Oryzias latipes: one gene and its partner. The protein of the gene in region 1 purifies or fractionates together with the protein of each later gene. This does not show direct contact. Links are inferred from orthologs where the notes say so. Each region holds a gene or a part of one and is shown in the gene's direction. Other genes may lie near its edges.

The links.
Region 2: the proteins of cul2 (region 1) and cops6 purify together in Homo sapiens (affinity purification with mass spectrometry; 5 studies listed by BioGRID and IntAct, counting the BioPlex papers as one, with this or other methods). This does not show direct contact. The link is inferred for Oryzias latipes from reciprocal best matches to the Homo sapiens genes CUL2 and COPS6.

The regions. Positions count from the first base shown.
Region 1 is NC_019878.2:9,092,278-9,096,801, reverse strand, and holds the start of cul2 (cullin-2), read left to right. Parts: upstream 1-1,552; 5' UTR 1,553-1,677; intron 1,678-3,113; 5' UTR 3,114-3,135; coding exon 3,136-3,254; intron 3,255-4,051; coding exon 4,052-4,154; intron 4,155-4,249; coding exon 4,250-4,344; intron 4,345-4,524.
Region 2 is NC_019868.2:6,644,913-6,649,188, reverse strand, and holds the start of cops6 (COP9 signalosome complex subunit 6), read left to right. Parts: upstream 1-1,410; 5' UTR 1,411-1,449; coding exon 1,450-1,492; intron 1,493-2,869; coding exon 2,870-2,995; intron 2,996-3,400; coding exon 3,401-3,532; intron 3,533-4,011; coding exon 4,012-4,100; intron 4,101-4,237; coding exon 4,238-4,276. Other genes in the region: fbxl12 (F-box/LRR-repeat protein 12), read right to left, coding at 1-403, 799-874, 1,043-1,143. UniProt on the Homo sapiens protein: Component of the COP9 signalosome complex (CSN), a complex involved in various cellular and developmental processes.

The DNA.
Region 1 (4,524 bases):
AACAAAAGAAATGAGAGATTTGCACAATGTTGCATGAAATAGTCTATATAAATGTATGTATTTAATACAATCCACATGGATTACAGGAAAATATTTTTAGATGTTTTTAGGAGAGATTAAGGATATATATATTTGTATTGCTGTTACTGTCACAAAACAAATAAAAAAATCACATTTGACAACAAATAACTTTAAGAGAAAACAGCAGGGGTTACCTGTCTGAACTGGACCAACTGGCGTGTTTGTGGCTCCTACAATTAAAAATTGTGGGTTGTTTGTAAATGGCTGGTTATCTGTAACGCCCTGAAGATCCGAAGGGGAAAAGTCGAGATGGGAATCAAAACACAGCCCTGAAAGACCAAGGAAAACACAAACCAGTGGGTGTGGAGGTGGTCATGTTAACCACTATCGACATGTTTACCTGCATTACTGTTGTTAGTTTGCAGGTAAGAAGGAATCAAACTGGGAGAAGCTGGAGCTTATTGTGACTGATCACTCTCTTCTGTATTTAGCTGCATCACCCTGGAAGTCATTCTATGGAAAACAAGACTGTATTTGTATAAAAGAAAAATGAAGATTTATATAAAGGAGCATCTGATCCTCCTTTTTGTAAAATAACAGCTTCCTTCTTTAAGCAAGCAAAAAAAAAATACTCTTGTAAGGAATTCAAAATATACCTCAAGTTTTTGGTAAAAGCTAAAAACAACTTCTTCTGGTTGAATATTTTCCATTTTTTTCTAACAAAGCAGAGCAAAACAAAACAAAAAAATTGCAAATTTATAGTTAAAAATGTTTTGATTAACAAAAATTTGTGTCCAAAATGCATTAATTTTACCAGCTATGATATATTTCTTCAAACAAGCACTAAAACTAACTTTAGCTAATCAGGGATGTAGTAAATAAAGAACAACACTGTAAGTACTAATAGTCAGTTATGACATTTGAACGTTTTTTTTTAACTAATTGATTCAATACACAGTCTGACCTTCAACAAAAATAAAGAAACATTTGGGATTTAGTTTGAAGTAGCAGGCAGTCAGGATGTATTCAAATTTAAGCGGCATATTCTTATGGTGGTGGAAGCCAAACAATGCATGTTTTCAAAGCAAAAAAAGGGAGAGTGAAAATTTGTAATAAAAGAAATCACAGAAAATTTACCAAAGAGATTAAAGAACGTGCAAAGCCAAGCTACTTTGGCACAAGTAGCTTCTGGAAAAACCTTTACTTATTTAAAAGTGAGGCAAATATGAAGTGTTTATTTTTTGTATTTATCAATTAATTTAATTTGTATTAAACACAAATGGAATAAATGCACATTTCCCCTCAAAAAAAATAGAGCATATAAAAACAGAATACACCGGTGTTTGAAAAATTCGATTCCTTAAGGTTTCCGTAGTTTTGGGCGATACCATTTTTTGGTTGGGGTTTTTCTTTTAACGTTGCCGCGCTTTAGTTAATGTAAAGCTTATATCTATGATCTGTTGTTAATGAATTTATATTAGATACAATTCAGACAAATTACTGTTTCCTAAAATTCATACAAAGTATAAACACTTGTCTGTAACGTTCACCTAAGTCAAGTGGTATATTCCTAGTGGTTGGGAAGACCTGTGAGTCAAATCAGTACTGTGACAGCGGAGAAACCGGAGTTTTTAAACAAGTAATTACTGAATTAAGGTTAGTTGTAAAGTCTTTGCTTATAATAAGTAATCAGATTTTTTCAACATCAGCGCCACGCTTTGCCGTAATGTCAAGGTTTACGTAGGGAAACTTCTTGTATGACAATTTGCTAACTATAGCTGAGCAATCGTTAGCCGCCAGCTAGCTGGCTAATTGCTAGCTTTTGCCTTAAAATTGCCTTCAGTTGAACAGGAAGAAGTGACATGCTAACGCGCAGTAAGCTAGCATTTTAGCTCAACATCCTATTTTTGGATTGGCATTCCGCTAGCTTGTACCTTTTTTTTTTTAGCTAGGTTCAACAAACATGTCAGAGGGATGCTAAAATGGAGAGACAGCATTCGGTAGCATAATTGTAGTCACAATAAATATTGACGTGGTTTTTCAAGACAAATGTTGAGATGTTTAATGTTGCGTTATAGCAATTGAAATGAATGACGACAAACATGAAAGAACACATACAGGGCCTTCTTTCTCCCACTTGACGTAATAATTACAACTGCTTGCATTAATTTGAACGTTGATAGATTTTTTATGAAGTGTTTCGCTGCTGCTCAGAGGTTTTCTCTTTACTTTTCTCCAAAATATTTAGCTGTTAGCCTCTTCTTGTTGAACAGAATGATTATCAGACATAATAGTGCTATGGAGTGTTGTTTCCATGATCAAAAGAATTGTTTTAAAAATGTCCTTGTTACTATGTTTTATTTGGTAAAGATGTTCAAATCGTGTTATTGGTTTAATTTCCCAGGTGCTGTTTTGAAATCCTCGTATACTTTTGTTTTGTATTTGATGATGCTTCCTTCTTCTTCTTTTTTTTTACTATCAGTTTCTTTTTTGTCATACAGCCTTTATTTTGGTGACTGTGCTGTCAAAACAAACATTTAGAGACCCACTCCAGTAAAAATTGTGTTTGGTGTTTATAACATGTTCTTGTGGCGTTTTTCTGATGGTGGAGGACATAATATAAAGAAAATTGAACCTAAGACTGCATTTCAGAGTATTTTTTAAATTCAAATTGTTGTGAGTCAGGAGCAGATGAAAAACTGCTGTCTGAAAAAGATCGTATTTGTGACGTAGAAGCTACAGTGACCGGGCCACAAGCTCCCTGCTCCATTCCATTCTGATGCATTCATGTACGTCTCTGTTTTCCTCGTCTCAGCTGGAATCTGGCTCAAAACTGTACAGCTGGATTGCTCCAATATTGCTTCCCATTTTTGTTGCATTGGTAATGTTGGGCTTGGTGTGTGAGGGGTTGTACGAGAGTGGGAGAGTAGATGGGTGATGGAAAGTGGGGCGGACTGCTCTGCAGAAAGTATGGCCTAGAAAATGAAAGTTTTTTTTTTTTTAATTTTTTGGACTTAAAAGCTGCATAATCATAGTTAAAGGAATGGGACTTTAACATCTTTCAATATTTCCTGTTCTTTTCTTCTTTTCAGTCAGGCTGAAGGAAAAACTACAATGTCCTTAAAGCCGCGGGTGGTGGACTTTGATGAAACATGGAACAAGTTACTGACGACAATCAAGGCTGTTGTGATGCTCGACTATGTTGAAAGAGCCACCTGGAATGACAGATTCTCGTATCCTTTTAAAGATTTTTTTTTTTTTAAAGATTGTAGGCAATTTATAGCGGTGGTCCCAACCTCCAGGCCAGTCCGTGGGAGAGAGAAAAAAACACGACCTACATTTTTTCCCATTTTCTTTATCATCTGATTTTGAAAGAAGTTTTATTTGGGAAAAGTCCTCGACTCTCTTCACCACATTCCACTCATTCTTGATGCATGTTAAGTTGCTCGATCACGTTTAAAAAACCATCCTCTACTTTCTTAAAGCTGCTGCTCCGACCGTTAAATTGAGACCCCCAGGCTGGCAAAGTTCATTAAAAAAAACACATATGGAAAGTTTGTTTCAGTAGAAAAAAGTTTTAGGGACCAATGTCTTATTTATTCATTTATTTTTTATATTTGTGGAACCCTAAAAGTCTGACGAGGCTGAAGTTGGCATCAGATTTTTTGGCCTCTACTTTGACAGTTATGGGTTACGGGAAAATCTATATCCCTTTTTAATGGTTCCTACTTGAAATCTAGTGTACAAATAAAGTTTAGAGAAGTGGCAAATATTTCACAGAGGATGAAGATCGACTTTACCCTCAAAAGTTAAGGAAAACCTTTAGCTAAAAAAACAAATCGGACGGCCACTTGAACCTCGTTTCTTGTCTGACATTAAACCGGCCCATGGCCTGAAAAAGGTGCGGACCACTGTTTTATAGGGTAGATGGGTTCTTCATCTTTTTCTAAATACAGATTAGCTATTGTTGAGATAAATGTGTCTGAAAAAAGATGTTTTCTTGGTTTGTGATCCTGACCTCAGACACCAGCGACATTTATGCCTTATGTGTTGCATACCCAGAACCCCTGGGGGAAAGATTATACACGGAGACCAAAATTTTTCTTGAAAATCATGTCCGACAGTTATACAAGGTAAGCCTTTCACGCTCTTGCGGGAGAAAAAAAAGAAGTGCTTCTTCCCCCATAAGTTCTTGCTTTTTAGTAATAATATCTGAATGTACTTCTAGAAAGTTCTGGAGTCGGAGGAAAAGGTTTTAGTGATGTACCACAGATACTGGGAGGAATACAGCAAAGGCGCTGACTACATGGACTGCTTGTACAGGTAACTGTATTTTTTGACATCTACCAGCATGCAACAGGGTAGGGCTGGAGGACACTGCTACATTACTGAATCCATCCAGAATATATTCAGCTGTTAGATCTATTTATTTATTTTATTTCTATCCAAAACCAATTTAGTTAAGTTAGGGAAACCTGTTTTTACCAAAAAAAACTGTTCATT
Region 2 (4,276 bases), on another chromosome or scaffold:
GACTCTCAATACTAATGCCTAAAGGCGAGGCCTGCCCTTTGACTTTTGGATTTTTTCCTTGCTGTGAACCACCAGCGCTGGAAGTAGCCACTGCTCTGTCCTGAGGAAAAGCAGGTGAGGAACTCTTGGCCTGACAAAAAAAGCCCTGAGGGAGCTCACAACCACGGAGCTCCAGCACACGTAGAGAAGGAGGCAAGAGGTGGCAGTTGGGTAAGGTTCTCAAGTCTGCATGTAGAAGGCATAGCTTACTCAAGCGAGGGCATTTAGTGGACAAAGCTTTGAGCCAGGACTCTGAGAGAAAGGTTCCACCCCGGGCAGAAAGCAGCAAGCCACGCAGGCGAAGGCACCTCAGTCCACAACCAAAGTACTGACGCAGCAAGACCCAAAGGATGCGAGATGTCACCTGATGTAAGAAAAAAGAAGAGACCATGTGACAATAACGAGGAGAAAACTGATTAAATAAATAATGAGATATAAGCTCAAACACATGCACATCAGAAACCTAAAAGGAGGCCTATTTTTTTTTTGGGACTTACTTTCCTAACAAAGGACAATTAACAACATTTTAAATAACGTGTCCAATTATAGTAGAAATAATAATACAAGAAAAAAAGTGCACCTTTGTCACTGTTTTTAGTGAAGGTTTAAAAAAATTGGACATAAACTAACAAAAGAAAGCCTTAGCACGGTTGTTTCAAACATCACATATTTTTTATCCATGTTTATTACTGTGTCCATTCGATTACAGAAGAATTAATATTAATACTTAATATTCAGGAACTGAAACCACAGTCCTACCCCTTTCCAAGCAGTCAGATCTACTGTTCTCCACAGTCTTTGGTCTTTAACCAGCCGTTTCCATCTCTTACAAACCCTGGAGAAAATGTGGAAACCATTAGAAACTCGCCAGACAGAAGTCTCAACAACAACAACAAAGGGAGATCATCCAGCTGGCTCTGTCTGTCTGTGCATGCTGCTGCATTGTATAGAAAGAACAGGGAACCAAAAATCCAACACATTCAGCAGGGCCACATTTTCATACCTTCCAGCTCGAACAAGCTCTCTGACGCTCAAAAACGACAACACGTCTATCAAGATGTTTTCGGGGAAGTAATCCAAATCGCAGCCTTTGAATTCATCCATTCTGTAAACAAAACCTTCCACACGGACTAATTTCCGGATGCACACGGGTTGCGCTCTAATCAGTAATCCCCAGGAAACAGCTTCTGGTTAGCAACAGTTCAGTTCATTTAACAGTTCAAAGCAACGGGCCTGGGTTTCTCTGAACATACTCAGTCTACGTCTAAGTAGTTATTTAAATTTTAAAAATGTTTATGACATCAGCTCTGCCGCGCGCCTTATTGATAAATGTTCAGAAAATATGTGATGTTGCCACCTATCGTTCGCTAGGTCAACAGTCCACTGCGCACGCGCAGTCTACCGGACAAGATGGCGACCAGCAATGGTGGAGGAATGGAGGTAGACGGGGCAGGCAAGTGTTTGTCTTAAATCAGACCGTTGGAGCCCGACGTTAACATGTACGCGCGCACCAAGGGCCCCGCGTGTTTTGTGTCTCTGCTGGTTTGTGAGCCGGAAAGATTTGGCGGCGCTAAAGCTTCTGGCTACAAAAGCTTTGCTAACATGATAAGCAGGTTAACGGTCAGTCAGTGATGAATCATTCTGGATTTACTGTCGCTTTCTCTGATCTAACTCAGTAATGCGCAGCTGAGTTTATAAATACAGTCACTTAACAATGTACCCATCCTTAAAATGCTATATAATCTAAATCCAGATTAACCGAGCGCTGTTTAAAGAAGGAAAACAACTTGATAGTTTCCCAAATGCTACTGTATTCATTCATCTAGAGTAGGGGGCTGAGACCTTTAACGGGAAACGAGCCACTTGGTCCAGATTCTTACAGATCAAAACCCAACGAGAGCCACAAAGTCTGGCCTAAACATTTAGAAAAATACACTTTTTGTTTGTTTACTTCAGTGGCTTTTTATTCATTATTGTAACAGGTAGCTTTCTTTTACATGTCGACAATAATAGAATCACAAAGGTGTTATATTTTACTAAAAAAGAGCAAGTTTAACTTCTTTACTTCAGACAGCAGCACATACACGTTCCTTTCAAAATAAAATGCACCCTAAGTCAAAAGATCCTCCTGCTTCAACAGATTTAATTTTAGGTGAGCATTCATCCTTTTACTATCAACATAAAGATGTGTGCATTGGTTTAAAATCCAAATAAAAATAAAAATCTATACATGTAAATGCAATTATATATTTTAAGAACTTTGACTCAAAGCAACAACTTGACAGTAGACTATAAGAATATTTGCTTAGTTAAACTAATTAAGTATTTGTTCAATTTTTTTGAATGTCTTTATAGCCGCATGTGGCTCTGGAGCCTCAGGTTGCAGACCCCTGCAACCTCAGATACATCAGACCGAAGCCATTTTATTCAGTCTGTGACATCTACAGGATGAAAAAGTGCTCAACCTGCTTAAGATGAGCATCTTTGTGTAAAATAAAACATGAGCAGCTGCTGATGTGTTGGACATTGTCATACATCCGATGAATTTTTTCCTTTATCAATTGATTAACTACAAAAATGACAGATAAAACTAAAAGGTAAACAGCTTAGGTTTAAAGATCAATCTTCAGGCCTGTATGAATATGTTTAGGCAGGTGTTATCCTCTCTTGAATTGTTTTAGGATTATTTTTTATTTGTAAATGTCTCATCAACACGACAGCCAATTATTTGATATGTCATACTATATCTTATTGTGAAAAATCTACGTTGTGTTCCTTGTGTCTTGTATTTCCTGTTTTGTTGAAGTTGTTGCTGTTTGTGTGTCTGCAGCCACCCCCAGTGTCATGGCCTCGGGGGTCACTGGGAGTGTTTCTGTGGCCTTACACCCTCTGGTCATCCTCAACATATCTGACCACTGGATCCGCATCCGCTCTCAGGAGGGCCGACCCATGCAGGGTATCTGTGATGAAGCTAAACTGTAGCTCCACGCGTTGACCAATCACGTTTACTGATGTCTTCTGGCTCCAACATGGTCATGTCTGTTTCACAAAAAAAAAAGGCAAATGAATTGATTTCATGTGCTTGGAGCCAGAAATAAGCCATTTTCTATGGGTGATGTCACACTAACGCACTCCAATTCTCACATACAATCAGTGGTTTTGATTGATTTGTACTTTTTTTTTCAAACAGAGACATCTTTTAGTGTTAACTAGGAACTCAGAACATGACTAAAATTCATCATCTTATCCAGTAATGTCACTATGAATGCAGTATTCTTACTTGAAGCAGCGGAGCTCTTGAACGTGTGTTTTTCAGGCATGTTTGTGTTGTTTTGGTTGATCGTGGGTTTTCCTTGTTTAGTGATCGGCGCTCTGATCGGGAAACAAGAGGGTCGAAACATAGAAGTGATGAACTCCTTTGAACTAATGTCTCACACCATAGACGACAAAGTGCACATCGATAAGGAGTACTACTACACCAAGGAGGAGCAGTGTAAGCTGGGTTTCTCAATCCGTGTTCTTTATTGAAACTCTGGACCAGCAGTCCTAAAATGTGGACTGAATGAGGCTAAAACAGTCCTGCTGGATTTAAAAGAATAAATAGTCAAAGATTCAGTTGTGAGTTTTGAAATAAACTGAATTAAATTGAAGGTTATGTCATTCCAAACGGTTAATCTCAAAATAAAACTTCATTTTTATGTTTTTTAATATTTGATTTTAATTTTTTCTAAAGCAAATTATTTACTTTTTGGGGTCAAAAATTGGCTTAATTCTTTTGTAAACAGCTAGAACCTTCTTTGTCTCTTAGATGTGAGTGAGTCCTAATTCTGAACTACAAAACAAATGTCCGATTGTTCTTTTTCTCCACATAAAGTACATAAAGTAATCTAATCACCATTTACATTTGTAAAAGTCTGTTTTTTGTTTTCTTTTGATTTTTGGCAAATAAATTGTTGAATTCTGCTGTTTCAGTTAAACAGGTCTTCAAAGACATGGAGTTCCTGGGCTGGTACACCACAGGGGGGCCCCCTGACCAGTCTGACATCCACATCCACAAACAGGTACAGAAACGCCGGCGCTTCATGCTCGACTGCAGCAAAATGTTCAGACTTAGTGATGCTGAGCTGGAAATGATCCACTTTTGGGTCGAACCTTCTCTCACCAATGCTTCTTTAAACGTTTGTCTGTTCTGTGACAGGTGTGTGAGATCATTGAGAGCCCGCTCTTTCTCAAGCTC